3 linked regions of the Rhinolophus ferrumequinum genome follow. The protein of the gene in region 3 purifies or fractionates together with the protein of the main gene of each other region. This does not show direct contact. Links are inferred from orthologs where the notes say so. Each region holds a gene or a part of one and is shown on either strand. Other genes may lie near its edges.

Evidence for each region. Proteins that work in one complex are often made in the same cells at the same time.
Region 1: the proteins of FBL (region 3) and TGS1 purify together in Homo sapiens (affinity purification with mass spectrometry; 3 studies listed by BioGRID and IntAct, counting the BioPlex papers as one, with this or other methods). This does not show direct contact. The link is inferred for Rhinolophus ferrumequinum from reciprocal best matches to the Homo sapiens genes FBL and TGS1.
Region 2: the proteins of FBL (region 3) and SIRT7 purify together in Homo sapiens (affinity purification with mass spectrometry; 3 studies listed by BioGRID, with this or other methods). This does not show direct contact. The link is inferred for Rhinolophus ferrumequinum from reciprocal best matches to the Homo sapiens genes FBL and SIRT7.

Annotation. Positions count from the first base shown.
Region 1 is NC_046297.1:22,291,810-22,299,007, forward strand, and holds the start of TGS1 (trimethylguanosine synthase), read right to left. Parts: upstream 3,021-7,198; 5' UTR 2,853-3,020; coding exon 2,749-2,852; intron 1-2,748. UniProt on the Homo sapiens protein: Catalyzes the 2 serial methylation steps for the conversion of the 7-monomethylguanosine (m(7)G) caps of snRNAs and snoRNAs to a 2,2,7-trimethylguanosine (m(2,2,7)G) cap structure.
Region 2 is NC_046304.1:54,692,951-54,700,335, forward strand, and holds the start of SIRT7 (NAD-dependent protein deacetylase sirtuin-7), read right to left. Parts: upstream 3,021-7,385; 5' UTR 2,954-3,020; coding exon 2,861-2,953; intron 2,791-2,860; coding exon 2,653-2,790; intron 2,570-2,652; coding exon 2,465-2,569; intron 691-2,464; coding exon 620-690; intron 526-619; coding exon 453-525; intron 1-452. Other genes in the region: transcription factor MafG, read right to left, coding at 7,338-7,385. UniProt on the Homo sapiens protein: NAD-dependent protein-lysine deacylase that can act both as a deacetylase or deacylase (desuccinylase, depropionylase, deglutarylase and dedecanoylase), depending on the context. Specifically mediates deacetylation of histone H3 at 'Lys-18' (H3K18Ac).
Region 3 is NC_046298.1:38,810,852-38,818,088, forward strand, and holds the start of FBL (rRNA 2'-O-methyltransferase fibrillarin), read right to left. Parts: upstream 3,014-7,237; 5' UTR 2,924-3,013; coding exon 2,914-2,923; intron 1-2,913.

The sequences.
Region 1 (7,198 bases), on a different chromosome or scaffold from region 3:
AATAAATAGTTCTTGGAAATTTCTTAAGTACAAATAGCAATTTCTCTACTGCAAAAGGGCTGTGGATTAGTTTCAAGTATAATAGTAATAAAAGGAAGTCCTTTCTGAAAGTGCCGAAATGAGATCACAGAAATGTTATGTGACTTGTCCAAGGCCACACAGCTGATTATTGGTAGAGCTGGGATGTGAAGCCCAGATAGATATTCTGCTCCTAAGGACAATATTCTTTTAAATTCTGGCTCAGGAACTTGTGGGAAAGGACATATCCAATGATTTTGTTGAGTTTATGATTCTTCTGTATATGAAAAACCAGACATCACCACTAGACACTGTCACATAGGTATGACCAGAGATAAATTCAGGCTCTTCAGTTTCCGCAGCAGTTCTCTATCTCAACTAAAATACATTATGTTAAAGTATTTTAACGAGTCACCAGTGTCAGTGACTTTAGACCACTTAAATACCTTAATCAGAAAGATTCACTTATGTTCTAGACAAATTAAAAGACCTCCAGGGCTGCCACTTACCTGACTGGGATTTTTTTTTAAAAAGGCCATTATTGAGACTACGTTTTCTACTAGAACAAAATAAAGATTACAAGACATATCTCAGGGTGTTGCTGGGATGCTTACATGGGGAAAAAAACAGAATGAAGTGTAAAACAATTAGTGCCTGGCACTCAGCAAGTAGCTTTTATTAAAAAAACCTGCCAATTATAAGTGGATATTTTTTAGTTTTCAATTTGCTTGATATTGCATCAGCTTTCCAATGTACTCCTTTCTTCAAACATTTGGTGACAGTATACTTGAGCTTGTCTTCTACCTTTTCCTCCCCTTTTAATCTTCACAAAATGTTGGAATTCCTCAAAGATGGATCCCACTTCTTCCCAACCCCCGCCCCAAGTGCTAAATCAATGGCTTCAATGACTATACTAGAATGGCTCAAGGTTTTAAGACTTCTCTAGAGCTCCAAACCAATATATTTAAGTACCTATGACATTTAATCTTGGATATCTGATAGCTACTCCAAAATCAAAACACAGTAAGTTGATTATCTTTTTATTATCTTCTGCTATACCCCCCAAAACCCATGACTCACTAGTGACCCCTATCTCAGTGAAACACATCAATATAAGCTGGAAACCAGGGAGTTACCCTTGACCTACTCTCCTCTTTCCCATCTTTTACCTTTCCTTCATTCCCCTACATCCAATCCAATCCCCTAAACTCAACAATTTCTCTCCTATATTTCCTCCTTTCTCCATTTCCACTGCCACCAATCCTTATCCACGCCACGATAATCTGTTGCCTGGAAAATGGTTTTTTTAAGTGGTTCTCCTTCTCTAAACCATCCCCCACCCTGCTGCTAGAGTAATCTTTAAAAACGTAATGATCATTTAAAAATGATCCCGTCCTCCAAAAAACTCTGCATATTTTGATCCTGCCTACTTCATTAACCCTATTTTCTATCTACTTCATGAACCCTATCTTCTGTCTTTCTTTCCCAGTCATTTTGTTTTATTTTCACAGGCTTTCTTTTGCTTTCTCAAGGCTTTCAGAGAGTTCTGATTGGGGAATGCTTCCTCCATTAAATAAACATATCCCAGTTTATTTCCATTCACACTTTAGACCTCTTTTCAAATGCTACTGTACTTCCTTAAAGAAATCATTGTCATCTGTGGAGAAAGGTTAGGTTTCTGCCACCACAGCATCCTGTACTTCTCTTCCATAGCACTTATAACTATAATTAATCAGATAATTATGTAACAGTTGTCTTAATATTGATCTCCTTCTCTAGAAAGTAAATTCAAAGGGTGTAGGGACTGGCTGTGTCTTGTACCCCCGTGCCTACTCGTACATAATACAAAGAAGCACAACTAAGATTTGTTGACTGAATGAATACATGCATACGTGAATACAAAAATGTCAATACTTTCACATAAATATAACATAGTGTTTAATTTCTATCGGATTTTCAGATTACCCCACAAAAACAAATGATGAAGCACTGTTTCAAACTTAAATTCTACTACATTAAGCTACATTAAAATTCACTTCTACAAGTTGAATCTAACAATAAGCCTGTGAGATGATTATGGTAAATACACCTGTTTTAGAGATGAGCAAAAATTAAGTGGCTGAACTCACACATCGAATATAAAGAAAACAATCCCTAGAATATAATTCTTTAGGCAGTTTTCCTACTCACTAGTTATCTTCCATGCATGAAAATTTTAACCCAAAACATATATTTTCCAAAGATAAAGACTGCTCAAAAACGGATGTGATTAGTTAAATCTTTTACCTTAGGTAATTACAAGTTCTATGTGTGTGCTTTTGCGCTTTAATAAATCTTAAGGTTTTAAAAATGACGATAACCAACACAAGTTACTCATCTTTCAAACCATCACCTTGTGATGTCACATCCATTAACGAGATTTCATTTTACATTTCACTTTCCCCCAATTTTAAAATGCCCCTGTATTTACAATGAAAATAAAATTACATATATAAGCCACCACATTTTTTTCCTAACAGCCTACAAAGTAGATTTACTCCTTCACTTAACTGCAGTAGGGGACCACTCCGTAAAGTCTGAGGACTTTTACCCCTTTTTCTTAAACATCACCTTGCCTAAGGGTCAAATACTCTGTCCGTGGTTCCAGGGAGCAGTTACAAATAGTCTGCAACACCTACATTTCTGGGAAATGATCGTGCTAGAAAGGAAGAGGAAGACGTTTTTACTTACTCCACAAACGCCCTGGAGCAGAGGCAAAGGATTTTATAATCCTCCTCTAGGTCTTCAATGAAGAGAATCATTTCAGCCACGCGGCTCCACTTCTCGCAGCACATTTTACCACCTCAGAGGAGGCAGCCCTGCGGTAAACGGCACGGGACCGGCCACTCGGCCTCTGCTGGGTTATTGGAGACCGAAAGCAGGCCTCGCCGGCGCGCCCCGTGGTGTAGGGTGAGGAACGGAGATGAGGTCGTTCCCGCCTGAAGCGAGCTGGAGTAACTAGAGCAAGCTACGGAGCCTTCACCGGAAGTGGCTCGGGGAGGGGCACAGGAAGAGGCGGGGCGACGGGCGGTGTAACGCTCAACGCTGCTCGGGCTGCAGCCGCTTTTTGGCTTTTTCTTCACCGAAGGTTGCTCGCGAAAGTAGGCCGCTCACATTTCTCCGCTTCCCTCGGCTGCTGAGCCATCGAAGAGCTGCCGCCGCTGCTCCAGAGTGAGGGCGAGCCCCCTCTGCCTTCTCCCGCCCGAGGTGCGTCGGTCCCTGCTTTGATCTCCACGCGCTCCTCCCTCCCGGGGGCGCGTCAGTCGCGCGGGGCTGTCTGTGAGCCGCGGAGGCCGCGCGGCTAGTCTCCCCCGGGCTGCCCTGGAGTACCCGGCTGGAACCGGCAGGGACCGGCGGGCTGGGTTTCCCGCCGGCCTCGGCGTTTGGCTCCGGCACTCGAGTGCTGGGGAGGGGAGGCCCTGCCTGGGTTACAGCGATCCGGTTCACCTCGCTCCGCATCTCCTCTCGCCGCTCAAAAACACTCAGTTCGGAGTGTTTCACTTCTTAGTGTTGGAGCGAGGAGTCTTCATCCTTACTAGAGGCCTCTGGGCTTGCCCAGTGTGACCCCCCTGATCCCGGGCTTAGAATCGACCCTACTGTGTATGAAAGATAAAAGGATATCCTGTGGTGGTCACGAGTGTAGTTGAGAGGCCGCGTTGGTGGTGGTTAAGTGTGCTCGCATTCAGACAAATCAGACATGGAATCCTGGTTTATGCCCCTTTTACTACCTTTGTGACCCGGGCTAGCGACAACCTTTCTGAGCATCATTGTGATCATCTGTAAAATAGGGATGATTAATAGTACCTGTTCCCCAGGGCTGCTGAAAGGACTAAATGAAATCGTAAATGAAAGGACTAAATCCTACCTCATATGTGCTATTAATAGTTTGCGTGGGTACATTCTTTGTAAGCTCCAGGCACTGTTGGTCCCCCCGGGTGTGCAGCCTGTAAAACAGGTCTCTGCCCTCAAGCGGCTGATTAATAAGAAAAATACATTTGCACATAACAAGGGTGTCGAAAACTGGAACACCACGGCTAGATTTGAAAAAAGCAGTGTTTGGTGTGGAGTGTTGGTTGAGACCACTCAGGCAGCTTCCTAAAAGAAACACGTTCAGATTCGAACGTCGGCGGAGCTCTTAGGACTCGGTTGGTGCTATTAATGCCGAAATGGCATTGGTATGTCTTTAGAATATTTAAAAACCAGGGTAAAAATCTAGATATTTAGAACAGTCGCTAATATTTTGACTGCATTTACTAGCGAGTGGAATGAGAAGATTAATTTTCAAATACGTTTATTCCAACATTCTTACTGCTGCCTTTTATGTCAGATAAGCTCATTTTAGTGACTCAGGAAGTTAAGAGTGCTGCACAGTTACATATACCTCAGTGTAGATGTGCAACATTTTTGGGATGAGGATAGGTTAAGAAAATAATAGTAGAATGGTAATTAACAGAGTGGAAGCTTTTAGCTGGAAGTTGAAGCACATTCTAGGGTTAAAAAAAATAACCGTGAGAGGTGATTTATATCAGAACCTATAGTTTAAAGCTTGAAATCTAAAAGGTATTGTTTTAAAGATAAAGTGATTGGGTTTGCTAGATATCTTTTAACTGATAAACTTCAGCTTTATTGATTGTTTGAAATCGAATGCTTATCACTAAAACTGAGTACTAAAACCCCTGTTAAGCCATTATTAAATATAAAAAAAGTAAAAGGGGACATTAATTTATATTTCAGCAAGTGTTACTTTTAATTGACATTGTCAGCATATTATCAATGTGGCTCATGTACTAAAAGTAAGAAATGGATCTGCTACCATCATGGTGGTAAAAGTACGGTATAGTGTTTAAAAGTAGATTTACTTCCTTAAGGTTTTGTAGAAAACAAACAAAAAATCCTGTGTTCTGATTTATTAGTTTTTGAAATATTCTGATTTTAAACGTCTGTAAAGTCAGTTATAGTAAATGTTCCTCACCATCAGTATCAATGTGGTGATATTTCAACTTGTGAACTTTTTCTTACACATTATATTAGTTGCAGATGGGAAAATTAAGCTACTTTCTATGTGATGCATAGGTTTGTGTTTTATTGTAGATTTTTTTTGATAGGAAATAATGTGGAATTTTTGGTAACTAAAATGTTATATCTCCCCCAAAACACCTTTTAACAACCATAGTTTTTATTGGATTAAAATAAAGTGGTAGAGTCAAGAACAGAACAGCCTGTGGTAGATTGGAGGAGGAGAAGGGCCAGGCAGAAGTAGAGGGAACACAGAAATTGCAATCTTAATATTTTCAGCCTTTCTGTCAGAGAGAGGGAGAGATTAAAGAAAATGTAATGAAAACCAGAATAGGAAGTAGGAGAACTAGGTTTTAATTTTGGCTCTTGGTTTTTCAGTGAATTAGTTTGGTAACTTTGGGCAAGTCAACTTGGCTTACTGTTTGTTTGTTTTTTTGGCTTTCTGTTTTCAACTTTTGTTTTCTAAAAAATTAAGAGGTTGCGTTCATTGAGTTCTAACACATTTTCTCACATTATCAAAAGTATTTTAGCAACTCAAAAGCTTGTTATTCAAACTCCTTTGTTAATTCTCTAGTAGCAAGTTTTAGGGCACTTCTTGGTCCACATTTTTGTCAAAGACTTGGATAAACACAAGTTTAGATCTATCTGTATTTGGCTGGTGTTTGTGCCTACTATGTACCAGGCATATTATTCTCAGTGCTTTACCTATGTTTTCTCATATAATCATCTATTTGTTTACTGATGCATCTCTTTTTCTATCCCTTTTTGCAACAATATTCCTTTGAAGAGTTGTCCATATTTGTGGTTTCCAATTCATTTACTCCCATTTTTTCTTGAACTTATTCCACCTGATTTTCATCTCCACTGTTTCAAAACAGTTCTTATTAGGGCTTCCCAATGCCTCTTTGTTGTAAAATCCAATGATCATTTGTCATTCTTTATCTTACTGGATCTCTGAGCATCATTCGAAACAGCTAAATACTCCTTTCTTCTTGAACCACCTTATTATTATATCCAGGATGCCGCTCCTGGAAGAAGGATGCTGGTTCCTCATTGTCTTCCCAACTTCTAAAATGTTGAGTTCCCCCAGGCTCAGTCCTCGAAGCTATTTTGTATTCACTCCCTGGAGCAAGGGTGTCTAAACTGCGGCCCACGGGCAAAGTGGGCCGCAATCCATTTTTTATTGGCCCACAGCAAATTCCAAAAATATATTTAGTTTACTTAAATAAACCAGGTGAGGCCATATGTACTTCACCTCGAGTGAGTGGCCTGGCTGTTTGTGTATTTTACCGAATATGGCCCTTGGTGAAAAACGTTGAAAAAAGTTTGGACACCCCTGCCCTAGAGGGACCTTATTTAGTTTTGTGGTTTTGGATATTGTCTATATATGTCGCCAGTTCCTACATATATTTCTCTCGCCCTGATCTTCCTGCTAAACTCTGCTGATGTCCAGCTGTATGTTTAACGTCTTCACTTGGATGTCCAATAGAAACTTAACATGTTCAAAACTGAATTCATGATCTTCATCCCATCCCCAAACCTATTCTTCCTGAAACTCCATCTTTTCACAAGCAAGCAGGTAATATGATGATGATGACGATGGTGATAGCAATACTTAGTGTATACATAGTGGGAGGCACACTTCTAAGCTTTTTTTATATAAAATAATCACAACAGTCTTATTAGGTAGGTACTGTTATTACCCCCATTTCATAGATGGAGAAACTGAGGCAGAGAGGTATTAAGTAACTTGTGTAGGTCAAACAGTAAGTGGCAGAGCCTCCCAGGATACAAACCCACGTTGCCAAAAAACTGTGTCGTCATCCCAGACTTCTCTCACTCACATTGTACATCCACTCATCAGCAGATCCTGTTGGTTTTATCTTTAAAATATATCCAAAAACTGATCATCTCTTATGACCTTCATTCTGCCACACTTGTATGAGCCATTTTCATCACTATCTCAATTATTGCAATAATTTCCTATTTGTTTCCTGTACAGTAAATTCTCAACACAGTAGTCATTTAAAATCCAATTCGGGCAGTCTCACTCTTCTGATGCCTTCTTCATCTCCCATAGATAAAAGCTGGCCCACAAATTCTACAATGCTGCCTCTCTCTGCCC
Region 2 (7,385 bases), on a different chromosome or scaffold from region 3:
GGCAAGACCAGGGCAGCAGGCTGGTCCGAGCAGGGCTCAGCACGGCCGGCCCCAACAAAGGCTGACACACTGGGAGTGTCAGCAGGGTGAGCCTCGGCTGCACGGGGCTCAAGCCCAGGCTGATGCCCTCTTGGGTCAGTTTCAGGTCCCTGAAGACCCAGGAGGATCGACCCTTCCCCACTTGGTTGGAGATGCTCAGCAGAAGGTCTCCAGAGACTTCCTATGAGTTCTAGCTGGGATGACTCAGAGGGGAAGCTGCCCTCTTGAAGAGAAAGCATGGAGGATCAGAGGGAGGCCCAAACCAGGACTCTAAACTGCTTGGTGGGCACGCATTACGGGGGTCCACTGGCCATAGAAGTAGGATGCAGTTGTCACTATAGCACCAAAATGGTGCTCCAGGTCCCACGCTGTGGACACGGCAAGCACAGCAGCTGGCCACACAGGGCTCTTACCAGCTTCTGCTCATGTAAGCGGGCGATGCTCATGTGGGTGAGGGTCGGCTCGGCCTCACTCAGGTCGGCAGCACTGCCAGGTGAAAGGGGGTACAGGTGAAGGGAGCTTCGTGGTCAGGCTCCTGCTGCCCTGCTCCCTCGGTGGCAAGGCTGGGCAGACTGCTTACCTAACACTTCTCCCTTTCTGAAGCAGCGTCCACACTCCATTAGGACCCCGGTAATCTGGGATAGAGGCTGCCTGCATGTTCAGAAAGAAGATAAGCCTGGTAAAAAGGCATCACAGAAGCCACTGACAGAATTCCCAAGGACAGAAAGCATATGTTTCTCCCAGCGTGTTGCAGGCTGACCTGCAGACCGGCCTCTATTCATTCCACAGGCTCAGCATTTCCTAGTCTAACATGCCTGAACCCAGATGGAGAGTAGCCCATGTGGCTCTTTCCCTCTGCCTGGACTCCCGCTCTCACCTGGTCCAGCTCATCCTTCCAGCTACGCTTCCTCTGGGAGCCATCCTCAGTACAGCCTGGCTCTGCAGCCACACCTGTCCTCCACACTGAGGGTGGGACTGGTCAGCCTCACCTGTGTGTCCCCTGGGCCTAGCCAGTACACCAGAAAGATGCAGAGGTGATCCCCTAGGTGGGATCCCTCCTCTGTCCAAATTCTTCCACCTTGATGCTGTGCTTCCTGCCCTACCTTCACAAAGACAGGCCAACCTCTCCAGGTGAGAGATAAACACCACTGAATTGCCCAAGTTCCCAATCCAGTGGAACAAAGCCACGCAAGACAAAGAGAGAGAGTGTGCCAGGATCCAGGTGTTCTGTGCTCCTTCTGTGGAGCCCTGTCTCCTCCCTGCTGCTTACGCTCCAAAAAGTGCCCACCCTGACCCGTGGTTCCGACTCACATCACACAGGGGAAACTCAAACAGCAACACTCACCCCAAATTAATGAGCAGCACACACCTTTAAGTAGGCACCTGAAGCTCTTTCAGAGGTATTATTATTGCTTTTAAATAATCACACGACGGGAGTTCACCCGTGAATGTGGAGGGAGGAGACCAGATTGCCAGGGCTCCGGAGGGTCCGTAAGTCACAACCGTCAGCCCACCCGACACATTCTAGCCACTGCCCTGCACTCATCCCTGCCTCATGTCACCACCCGTAAAATCTTACCCACACTTCGAGGCCCAGACGCAGTGTCACCTCCTACAAAAACCCAGCTGGGATAATTTCCCAGCTGAGACCACGGGGTGTGTGTGGATTTCAATTGTTGACCTAACACAGCCAGCTTCACGTGACAGCTACATGCTTATATGCCTTTTCATGTCACCTGTGGGCTTCTCCAGGATGGAAATCCTGTGTTCACCTCTGCTGGGCCTGCACGCGGCTCACACTCAATCCACCCCATCAGACAGACAGATAACGTGCCACCCACGTTGTCAAAGCAGCTCATACCCATTCCATGGCCCAGGAGAACATCTCCATGGAAGTTTTCAAAACCCAACACACCTCCCTTCTTTGCCGGGTGTACTTTAATTTTTACGGCCTTGCTTTCTGCTTTACCTTCCTTCAACACTCAGAAAAACAATGAACGGGGAATCAGGACACAGTTTGGGGCTTACCTCTGCCCACATAACTTTGGGACAGTAAATTAACCTCCTTGGCTTAAACGAAGAGGTGCCTGCAAGAACTAAGTTATTACGTCCCCTTTCTATTCCTTTTCCTTTCTCGTCGCTAACTGGGTCTAACTCGGACTTCAATCCTGTAAAAACGTTTCTCTACTCAGTGACGTTCCAAATTGAGTCATCTCCGGCTTTTCTAAGAGAGGAAAGAACCTCAGGGCTGCTTTTAAAGTGAGTTTTTTTGCGAACCAGTAGTTTTCCTCAGTCCTTGGGTCACACGCCCAGAAGGGGGCGCCCCGGGCGCGTCCCCTCCAGCCCCCCGCCCGGTGGTCCGACATTCGTCCGGACCTGGGAGTCGACCCGGGCGCACGGCCATGGTCACGCCTCGCCTCCCTACCGTGCTGATGCCCGCGCCAGTGTAGACGACCAGGTATTTGGCGTTCCGCACGGCTCCGGCCAGCTCCCGGACTTTCCGCCGCAGCTCCTCCGGGTCGTCGCACACCTGCCGAGACACCCAGACCGCTCGTAAGCCCCGCCCCCGACCCGGCGAGAGGCCCGCAGACCCGGGCGCCGCGCGGGACTCGCCTCCTCCTGCCGCCGCTTCAGGCCCTCGCGCCGCCTGCTCCGGCCCTGCAACTCGGTCACCAGGTCCGCGCTCTCGGCCAGGAGCCGGCCCTCCTCTGCGCTGCGCTCGGCCGCCGCCTTCCTCAGGATGCGCGACACCTGCGGGCGCGGGGCAGGTGGTGAGGGCGACGCGAGGCGGGGATGCGGGGCGGGGCAAGAGGTGACATACCTGGCGGAGGCGCTCCCGCTGCTGCTCCTCCCGCAGCCTCCGGACCCGCTCGGCCGCCTTGCGCTCCGAGCGGCTCAGACCCCCGGCTGCCATCGCCCCGAGGAGATCCACGCTTCCGCTTCCGCCTCCCGGCAGGCCGCGCGCCGGCACATGCGCGCTAGGCCCTGCCCCGCCCTTCCGGCCCCGCCCGCACCGCCCCAATTTAAGCACCTGCCAAGTCTCTTTAAAAGGTGTTTATTGATCATATACAAAATAAAGAAAACCTTATATATCACAAACATACACTATGTACAGCAATAAATACCCGGGGCCCGGCCCAGTGCCGCCCCTCCTGGACAATAATTTAGCAATAAATACTGCACAGGGCAGGGTGGGCGCCTAAGCGGGCCGCCCTCACGAGGCCCCTCCCCACCTGGAGCTTCGACGATCCCCGCCGCCCGGGCAGATCCCAGGATACCCCCACCTCCCCCTGACTTCAGCCCTAGGCAGGACAGGCAGGGTCTGATCAACTCTGCCTGGACCCACCCTCTCAGCGCCAGGAGAGCAGCAGAGCTGGACACACTGGCAGCCCTTGTCCTGTTGCCCTAAGATGCCAGGAGAAGGCTTTCTGTACCCACTCCCGTTTGGTTAAAGGCTTCCGGGACTAGCAGATTGAGGGGATGGGAAGAAGGGAGGTGCTGGGACACGAGGTTGCTGGAAGGGTCGCTCCTCATAGTTCACTGGGGACACCCACATACCAAGGCTGGGGTGGAAATGTATGCGACTGGCCCAACAGGTACAGCACACGCCCAGGACAGGCCATCAGTCTCGAGGGCACACCCCTGCCTCTGTGTGTCCTCCGCTCTCTGTCCCCATCTGCTCCAAAACCAGACAGCCAACAGGAAGGCAAAAACGCGCCAAAAAGAATTATTCAGTGGCTTCTGGGGAAAAAAATCGTTAATGTGTTGGTTCCTTTCACCAAACCACAGCCTAAAAAAGTAACTTACAAGATCCCAGAGCGGAAACAGCACTGCAGCCTGTGGCTCCGGCTTTCCAGCTGTGGACAGGAGCTTTGGCCAAGTGGCCACTCCAGAGATGGAGGCAGCGGGGACCGGATGGGGCCTGACCACCCGTCCCAAAGCAGGCTATAGATCAGAGCTGTGGGCCGGGCACTGACCACTGAGGCTGTTGCTGACGGTCCGGGTTGTGCACACAGACCGGAAGCCTGGACCAACAGGAGGAAAGCCCGTCAGAAACCAGCACACTTGCCAGCTGCCATACAGCAGCCGCATGTTCTCACCTGTACAAAGGGTAGTGCCACCGGAGCAGCAGCCAAGGGCTGTGGGGAGTTTTCCCTGGGGCCGTACTCTGGGAAGGAGCTGACCTCTTCCCACAGGCTTCTCTGAAATCTAAATGTCCATGTTGGGACAGGGAGGAGTTGGGCGAGGGCACGGTGGGAGCAAAGGTGCACGTTGTGGTTTACTGAGCGGACAAGTTTGGGAGACCTGGCTTTGGCCGAAGCCCTCGATTTGCTGTGTCAGAAAAGTGGAGGGGAGAGAGGGGACACAACACCCTCACAGTAGGAAAACCAAATTAACAAGAATCAGAAAGACACCAACCAGTCACATGTGGACACAGTCTACTGTCAAGAAACCAAGGGGAGGGAAAGGGGTGGAGTGGCCCTGCAGGCCTGGCTTGATGGGAACTGGATGCTCCCCCAGACCCAAGGAGCAGTTGTTCCAAATCCAAAAACCCTGAAAGAAACCACGGCCTCACTAACTCCAGAAACTTCCAGAAACCAAGGCCTTGCAATATGTGTTAACACATGCCTGCCCTCAAACCCTCCAGGTCTACAGCCTGGCAGGGGTGTGCCGAAGTGGACAACGACCTCCCGGCCAGGACAAAAGTGGGGACCGTAGATGGACATGGAGGGTCTGTTCCTCCCACCACCAGGGCAGAACGTGACCTCCCTTTAGGGGCTGTTATGATGCAATTCCAACTCACTGCTGCTACAACCATTGACAACTCTCGTCTGGAGCCTGCGAAACAGACAGACTGGAAGGGGAGGAAGCCACTCTGTGATCTGGAGTCAACAGTCAACATCTCCATTGCAGGCTGACTCCAGTACAACTAGGAACGTCTCTGAGCATTTAGGGTCCACAGAAGCCCATCGAGATGGCAGAAGTTGACAGCACATCCTACTCCCATCCCATGGGCACACTGGGTCAAATTCTGGGATGAAAATCCTGCTGCCCACAAGGTTAATTTAAACCCTACCAGGCAGCACTGATGCACTTCTGTGCTTTTCAGGGGGTCAGGGCCCCCAGAGAAGCCAACCCAAGGAGAGGCCAAATGAGGCCCATGTGGCTGGAGACGGGGCACTAGCCTCCTGGGGAGACGCCACAGGCAGCCCGTCACGTGCCTATGAGCTTCCCACCCGAGTCTGGGAGACTGGCTGCCTCTGCCGAGTGGCCGGGATGGGGGTGAGTGTGGGCTCAGTCCAAGAGAAGCACCTCCATAAGCTGGGCAGTGGATCCCTGGAAGACACAGACCCAAAGGGAGGCGGAAGAAGGCCCAAAGCCGAGAGCTGCCAGCACATTCAGGGGCGAGGAGGGGCAGGACCGGCCCTGGACACTAGCCCTTGTCTGGCACTGGTGGAGACCCCCAGGCCCTCAGGCAGGCAGAAAGGACCGCCCCAGGTGGGCCCCGAAACCACCTGGTTTTGCCTGGGAAGCACCACCCGCAGCATGGAAACAGTCCTGGGACAACTGGGCAGCAGGTCTTGCAACCCCTATGTGGGCCCCTGGGGTTCCCCTGCTGAGGCCCATGTGAAGCCTAGAAGAACAAAGCTGGGGTCAGTGGCCAGAGCCCAAGCACGGTGACTGGACACCAGAAGGAAGACGGCAGGGGCAGCTTGGCCGTGGCCCCGTGGGCACCCACAGTGACTCCTTGGTCCCTGCAAATCCCCCACCCAGGGCCAGAGGCGGTGGGCATGGTAGCAGCATGGGGAGCCCCCGGGATGGCCCCCAGTTTCACCTACCCTGCCAATGGATCAGCCCAAGCCTGAGACACGCATGCGAAGCCAAGGGTCAGAGGGGAGTGGGGGTAGGAGTGGCAGAGCCCGGAATCTGACCTCCTGGAGGTCTGGGGCAGACGCTGAGGCAGAAGAGGCCAGGCTGGTGGGCACCAACCCCCCCAGCTCTGCTGCAGCACGTACCGCCTGGCACCCCAGCCTGAGCCTGGCAAGCCAGCAGAAGCAAAACACAACCAAATCCAAAACAAACACAGGAAAATAGACACAAGAAGTGACACCCACAGGTCAAAGGTCACCAGAAGCACCAGCACGTGACGCTGCACAACACCTCACCAGGCACAGACGACACCACTGCACCGGCAGGAGACAGGAGACGGAAGCAGGAAGGGCAAAGGAGTAAGTCACTTTCGGTACAATTGCAAAAGAGAGAGCAAAGAGGACGTCAGGACGTGCCTTCTGGTCGCTCGCGGCTTGGCTTTTTTTTTTTGTCTTTTTTTTAAACTAAGTTTTATAAATAACATCTGATAACTCTGTGTATATAAAAACTAAACTCCAACAGCCACAAAGACTTGTCTGTAAGTTTACAAGAAAGGGATTTTTTTTTCTTTTTTTAAACTAGCAGTTTCTATTATACTTTCTTCCCTTTTCCATTTATATGGTCAAATGTTCTTGCTTGTTTTTTGTTTTTTTTTTTTAAAAAGACAGTTTTATAAATACTCTGCAGCTCTTTTTTTTTCTTTAGCTTTTAAACATATAATTTAATAACTTCGTAAAAGGAACTTCTCTCTTTTAAATAAAGGGCTATGTAACCACACAAATAGGTCATGTAAACAGTGACACGGGACCCATCGCAGGACACTGGACACACCCTTCACGTACGCTCACAACCAGTGGTTTGGTCTTGTTCAGTGCAATGCGTCAGGCGAGAGTGCCGAGGCCCGGGCCCATAGCCGCACGACGCCCCATCCCCCAAGCACCTAGGCTGGTGGCCTGCCTGTCCAGGGTCCCCAAGGACACCCTCCTCGGAGCAGAGCCCATCTATACCTCTGGCTGAGCTGTGAACTACCCAGGCCCCTGCCAGTGCAGGCGGCCGCCAGAGCCTATGGGACACTCAGCCTAGCACGCTCCCTGCTCAGGGACCCTTGAGCCCCTAGTGTTTGCTCGATCTTTCTGCCCATTCGCACAGGACCACTCTGGACTCCAAGCCCACATGGCCTTAGTACAAAGGGCTGGGGCGGCCCCACGTCACCACCGAACTGACCAATCCCAACATACAAAACACATGATGACAACGACGAGATCAAGGGGCTCAGCCCGGTGCCCCTGGGGTGCAGGTTGTGCTTTGCAGGGAAGGGAGGAGGTAGGAGAGGAAGAGGGAAGGAGAGGAGAAAGGGGGGACAGGGCTGCCAAATTCGCCATGCGCCTAGTGGCCCCTCGAAGACCCGCCTGGGCAAGCGCATGTCCCTACGACCGGGCGTCCGTCTTGGACTTTACTATTGTGATGACGCTGGT
Region 3 (7,237 bases):
CCCACTCCTTCTCCGCACTCAGGTCTCTGATTAAACAATCCCTCCTCATTAGGGCCTTCTCTGGCTACTTGACCTTTACCCTGCTTTCTTTTTCTTCCATCAATTACCACCCATGGCACTTTAAATATTATTACTGCTTGCCTCCCCCATTAGAATCAAGCTCCAAAGGGGCAGGGTCATTTGTTTCGGTCACCACTGCATCTCCAGCACACCACCACTGCATCTGGCACAAAGTATGGGCTCAAAAAATATTAAATACACTGTTAAACCTCTGGGTTCTGCTGCATGGAGAAAGCACCCACTCTGTTCATTCAGGATGTAGGGGATCAGGTGGTGACCAGAGCCCTGGGCCCTACCCTCAAGCAGTTCCCAAACAGGGAGATGGCCACACCATTTGCAACCCTAGAGAACAGGGAAGGTTCATGGGAGTCTTGTGACTTTCATCTGTAAGGTGGAGATAAGGAGGTAACACAGTGCTCACCTCAGAGTTGAAAAGATTAAATGACTTAATCCACACAAAGCACTCAATACACTGCCTGGTACACTCGAGGTAAAGTCCTCCCTCCCACTTAGGGGACAAACCACTAGACATAAGAGACTTTCAACCCCCAGGCCTGATAGAACAGAGACCTGAAAAGTGTGGGTACGGCATGGGGTACAGTGGGCACAAGTGTAAACTTTCAGTCCCAGATACTCAAAACATACCTAATCCATTTCATGTCCTGGCGCTCTAAGAAAAATGTACTAAGGTAACCATTTCAAAATATATACATAAATCAGCACACCGTACACCTTAAACTTACACAACTTTTTATCAATTATATCTTAATAAAGCAGGAAAAAATAGGTATATGTTAAAAAAAAGAAAGAAAAACGTACTAAAAATACCCACTCTTCAGAAAAACACATTCACACAGACTTCTACAAGCATGTGTGTGAGGGGATCCACAGACTGGTTTAAAACTGCTCTCCGATAGCCTTCCCCATCTCAAAAATAGCAACTCCATCCTTCTCGTCACACACATCAAAACCATTAGTTATCCTTGAACTCCTCTCTCACACCTACATACAAACTGTTGGCTCTATTTTCAAAATGTATTCCCAAATCGTGACAATTTGTTAGCCAGGTCCACTGCTACAACCCTGGTCCAAGCCACATTATCTCCTAGTAGATTACAGTAACAAATTTCCTACTGATGTCCCTGCTACCACTCTTGCTCCCTGAAGTCTTTTACACACAGAAGCAAGAGGATCCTTTTAAAAGTGTCAGTCAAGTCTGACTGACATCACATCCCTGCTCAGAAATCCAAAGGCTTCCTTTCTCCATCAGACTAAAATCCCACTAAAGAGCTGACTCCTGATAACGTCCTCAACTTCATATCCTACCGTAACACAGTGGGGGAAGGCTTGGGAGGAAGGTACCTTTTCTGTTTCTGGGAGAATCAGGCTACAGATGCCTGCAGGCCTGCCAAGGTCTCAGTTGGAGATACACAGCCTAGCACCTCCCACCCCACTTCATCATTAGATCCCCAAACACTTAAGAGAAAGGGAACTTGGGTACACAAATGACCCTCCCCACCAGATGACTCCATCTCTCTACATGCTGAGAGAAAAAAAAAAGGAAAAAAAGAAAACCTGTACTAGAAAACAGACCCTTTCTGTCACAGTGGAAGATTTCCCCTACTCCAGTGGAGCAAGGTGGGAAGAGGGGCAACCGCCTAATTTAGGAAGAACTGAGACACCAGGGAATAGGATCCTAATTTTGTTCCCGCAAGGAAGATAAAGATAGCAACTAGAGCCAATACTATTATGTTAAGCGCTGTGCTATTTTTTCCAGCTTTATTGAAATATAATTGACATACAACATTCTGTAAGTTTAAGGTGTAAAACCTGTTGATTTGATACACTTACATATTGCAAAATGATTACCAGGTGCTATTTTTTCTTAACATGATCTTACTAAATTGTAACTGGGCGCCATTTTATAGATGAGAAAACTGAGGCTCAGAGAGGTAAAGCTACTTGCCCAAGATCACACAGTAAGGAAGCAGAGCCAGGGTGGAAACTTTGAACTGAGGCCCTTCTGCTGTCAAAGCCAGGGCTCTCGTGACAGGGAGGTGGGGTGGGTTCATTAGAATCTCTAGGAAAATTGAATGAATAAAACCACTCTTCCCTGTGACTACCTCCCTCCCACACCGCACGCTGGTCCTATCCTGGGCTTCTGAAATCTCATCTCACCGTGGGAGTTGAGAATGACTAGGCCCGTGATCTCCACTCCATCCTCAGGGACCCGCCCCCTCGGGAGTGTAGAAAGCGCGAAAGTGGGCCAGAGAGGGCCACATACTATCAAGCTGGGTGGGAGTCCTCATTCACTCCGACCCTCTCCGAAAAGCTAGGCTGGGGGCCAAGGGGACGGCGGTAGCCGGCGGCAACAGGGAGGCAAATGGGGGTCTGAAAGCGACCCAACTCCCAGAATTTCCACCTTTGAACCAAGACAGATTCCCCCAAACCCACGCCCCAGATGCCTGGATCCAAACTCTGGGTCAGGACCTCCGAGTGCCGCCCACGGCCCAATTCACAAGACTCCTAACGACAGCCTCAATGAGACGAATCCCAGCTCAGAACTCCCCCAATCCGAGGCCCAAGACCCTCGACTCACCATCGTGATCTCCGAAGCCAATCACAAACCTCCAGACCAGGAACCCGAACCCCAGGCTCACGATCGCTCACAGGGCGGAACCAAGACACTCTTCTACACGAGACCGGAACCAGGACCCCCTCCCCACACAAAACCGGACCCGGCTCTCAGAACCCCGGCCCCAGGCCATGGCTCCGCCCCTCCGATCCCCATCTGACATCCCGGTTCCCGCCCGACCCCAGCCCCTGACCTCCGACCCCAACCCCGGCCTGCACCTGGCCTCATGGCGACCGCTGAAGTGCGTGGCTCAGGAGTCTGCGGCGTCCGGGATCCCACGAGTCTGGAGCTTTCGCACGTGGAAAGGAGCGCACGCGCGCGGGGACGTACGGCGTGTGACGCAACCACGCAGCCCTACCCCCGGAGCCCCAGTCCCGCCCAGAGCCCGGCGCGCGCGCTCTGGGCGGGGATTTCCCTGATCCGGGGACCGCCCCCTCAGCTCGCTCCCGGCGCTTCTTTTACCGGAGCGGCGGTCTCTACGCAAAACACGCTTCCTCCTTCCCCCTTCGCGTGTTCGAGCACCCCAGGAATCAGGACTCATCACCAAGCCTTCCACGGGCTGTGCCCGCTGCCTCTCTTCTCTAGTGCCAGTTAACTCCCTAAGGTCTCCTCTACCCCCAAAAGCTTTCCCTGACCCATTTCCACCCTCAGAACAGGAACCCACCCCGGACTGTGCCCCTGTCTGTACCAGACACTTCTCGGCACGGGAATACGGCAGTGAACAAGACATACAAATCCCCACACTCCCGGAGCTCATCTTCTAATGGGCAAACAGACACCAAATAAGTTAGTAAAACGTTGAGTGTTAGAAGGCAGTAAGTGCTTTAGAGGGGAAAAAAAAGGCAGGGAAGGGTATAGGGATTGTTGGGGGAGGGGTAAAATTTCTCATAAGGTGGTTAAGGGGTGCATCTGGTGACTTTTGAGCGAAGAGCTAACGGAGGTGAGAAGCGAGGCATGCACTTATCTGGGGGAAGAAAGTTCCAGGCAAAGAGGATTGCAGGTCGAAAGGCCCTGAGGCAGGAAAGGAACGGAGGGCTGGAGAAACAGTGAGGAGTGGTTGGGGCAGAGTGAGCAGGAGAGAGTGGGAGGAGATGAAGGCAGAGAGGTAACAAGAACATTGTGTGGGGCCTTGTGGGCCGTGGTGAGAACTTCGGCTTTTACTCGGACTGAGATGGAGCTGTGGAAGGGTCCTGAACAGAGAAGGCATGTGATCTGACATGGGGTCACTCTGGCTGCATGTAGAAAACAGCGTGGGAGTAGGGGTGGGAACAGGAAGACCATGGAGGGACCTACTGCAATGGATCGAGTAGGAGACAAGGATGGACAAGGTCAGGGTGTGGGCAGAGAGAAATGGGTAAGGAGTAAGCAATTCCGCGTAAGTGTTGAGAATTTTGTGCCTTGTCGCTTTATAATATTAATACTCATCCCTATATTCATTCCACAAAGCAAAACAAGTGCTATTATGAGACGTTGCAAACAACCTCCAAGAGAACCCACTGGTCTGTTCAGTTCATTGTTGTATCCCTCCATACCTAGAACAGGACCTGGCACAGAGTGGGTGCTCAACAAATGTTTGTTGAAGGAGTGAATGAGACTGTTTTGAGTTCTCGGGGCAGGGTGATCCAGGGCACAGAAACGTTCCTGAAAATTTGTTTAACTATTAAGATGGAAAATCTGCTGAGCCTATTCTGGATTTCCAGGAGCTGTGCAATAATTCAAACAGCTCCAGTTCAGGATAATGTTACCTACTTCTTATGGATTTTACTGTTTGTCTCCCAATTAAAAAAAATTTTTTCCCATAAAGGGCAAAAATACTCAAGAGTTAGTGCAAATTTAAGATCGCTAGCCCTGTTTTCGGGAATCTTGGCATCATCTCCTGGCTCTGAGTTATTTCCTGTCAGCTTGCTCCTCAGACCTGAAATTGGCACTCTCAGCGAATAATTAGTGGGTGCCTTCTGGTCTTGTGCTGGGGACACAATAGTGGCTGAAACAGTGCCGGGGCCTGCCCTCCTGGAGCTGCTAGTCCAGTAGGGAAGAGAGACCAGTTCCCAGACAGTGTCAGCCTAGAGCAGTCAGGGCCAGAATAGGGAAGGTAGAGGCAGAATGGTTAAGGCTGGGATGGGAGAGGCACTGAGGGCTTTTCCCAACATCTCCCTATATCCTCACCTCCCTCTGAACCTTCTTTTTACCTTCCTAGCGCTCCGGAAGACATGCCTTTCCATGCAGCCCCTCCAAGTGGGGGCTGTTTCCACCTCCTCAGCCCTCATGCCCACTGGGCCTGTATATTGGGTAAGATCCTCTTTGCTCCTCATTTTCACTTCTAAACCATTCTCTCTGCCTCCTCCCTAATCCCCTAAGTTTGAAGTTTCTACCGTAGCACCTACTCCCATTCTTGCTGCCAGCTCTGTCAACCCCCAAGTCACTGCCGCTCACGTGATCATTTTAGCTCCAGGCTCACTGCCAATCAAGCTGCTCCTATTAAAATTCATGGTGAGTTCCAAATTCAGGTAGGTGACTGTGATGGCCTCTCGATGTCTTGACCTCCGCTCCTTTAGCGATCTTTCCTCCACCCAACACTTCCTTCCCACAGTCACACCTAGACCTTGTTCGGGACACAGTGGTGACTGTGGCAGCCCAGAGGTCCCAGCTGAGTGGGGAAGAAAGACCTGTCCCCAGACAGTGACAGCCCCGTAACAGCCGCCCTTACAGAACCTCAGTTCCATGCATCTCACTGCGTGCCCGTCACCTCCTGTCTCTCCAGCTTACTCCCTCGAAAGCTATTACTGCAACAATCTGTCAGCCCTGACAGTTCACTAAGCTGACCGCCTTTTCCCTGTCCCCTCACTACTATTCCCACCGCCCAGCCTGACTCCCCATCCACGTTATCACCACTCCTTTTCTCACACCCTCATACTGTGTACTTTTTCACCCCATTGAATCGACTTTCCACCTCCTCTGTACCTGCACCCTGGCAGCTAAGTGTGGATGGAGAAAAACACACCTCCACCCTGGCTGATCGCACTTTGTGTTCATGACCACAAACCCAAGTGGGCCCCAATGCCTCTCCACCATCCTATCCCATGTCCCTAATCCTCCCATTTTACTTTTTTCCCTCTTCGTTGTATTGGTAATGTGTTATTTTTTATACACTTTATTAAGGCATAACTTATATATCAGACAATGCACCTATTTTTAAATGTACAGTTCGATGAATTTTAGTAAGTGTATACTAAATTGTGCAACCATCTTAACAATCCAGTGTCAGAACACGTCCGTCATCCCATTTTGTACAAATGGAATCCTACAAGCTGTAGTTTTCTGTGTCTGGTTTTCGTCACTCGGCATCAGGTTCCACGTGGTTGTGTTTATCAGTGGTTCCTTCCTTTTTATCGGTGAGGATTCCATACTATGAGCATACTGCATTTTGTTTATCCATTTGCCTGTTGATGGGCATTCAAGTTGTTTCCAGTTTGGGCTTATTATGAATAATGCTGCCGTGAACATTCACGTACAAATATTTGTGTGGACCTAAGCTTTCAATTTTCTTGAGAAGAGTCCTCGGAGTCAAATGGCCGAATCTCATGGTGAGAGTACGTTTAACTTTTAAAGAAACGGACACAGTTTTCCAAAGTGGTTGGACCTATTTTGTTGAAGGATTATTTTACACTTTCTCCTCTCTCGTCAAACCTCAAAAACTTCTCCTGCTTTCTTTTTTATTAAATTTATTGGGGCGATATTGATTAATAAAATTATATAGGTTTCAAGTATAGAATTCTATAATACGTCACCTATATATTGCATTGAGTGTTGAGCACCCAAAGTCAAATCTTCCGTCACCATATATTTGACCCCTTTGACCCTACTCCTAGCTGATGACCTTGCTTCCCATTTGAATGCGAAGGTGGAAGCAATCACAAGAGAACTTCAGTGTCCTGCTGTCTCCCTATCTACCAGCCAATTGAGCCTGTTACCTCATATGCTGTAAAAGAAAACTGTTTCTGGATTCGCACACTTAACTTCTGACACCAAATGCATGAGTTTTCCACACCAAGCAAGTCCCCAATTCTCTGCAGATTCCAGCTGCTGTCCTACAATTTAGTTCAATTCGGACACTAACTACCCAGCGTTTGCATCAGACCTCACAGGTTAAGGGCTCAGTCCCTCAAGACTGCGTCCACTTCAGACACCAATAGGAAGTGAAGGCCACCCATATTTCTGACCGACTGGCAGTAAATCAGTTTTCACAACCTGCTCCTCTGTTCAATAATTTGCTAGAACAGCTCACAAGACTCAGGAAAATGTTTTACTTACTATTACTGGTTTATTATAAAGGATATAACTCAGGAACAGCCAAATGGCAGAACTGCGTAGGGCATGATACGGAGGAAACAGCATGGCGCTTCCATGCTTTCTCTGCTTGTGCCATCCTCCGAGCGCTTCAATATGTTCACCAATACAGCAGCTCTCAGAACTCCGTTGTTTAAAATTTTTATAGAGGCTTCATTCCTTAGGCATGATTGATTAAGTCGTTAGCTATTAGCT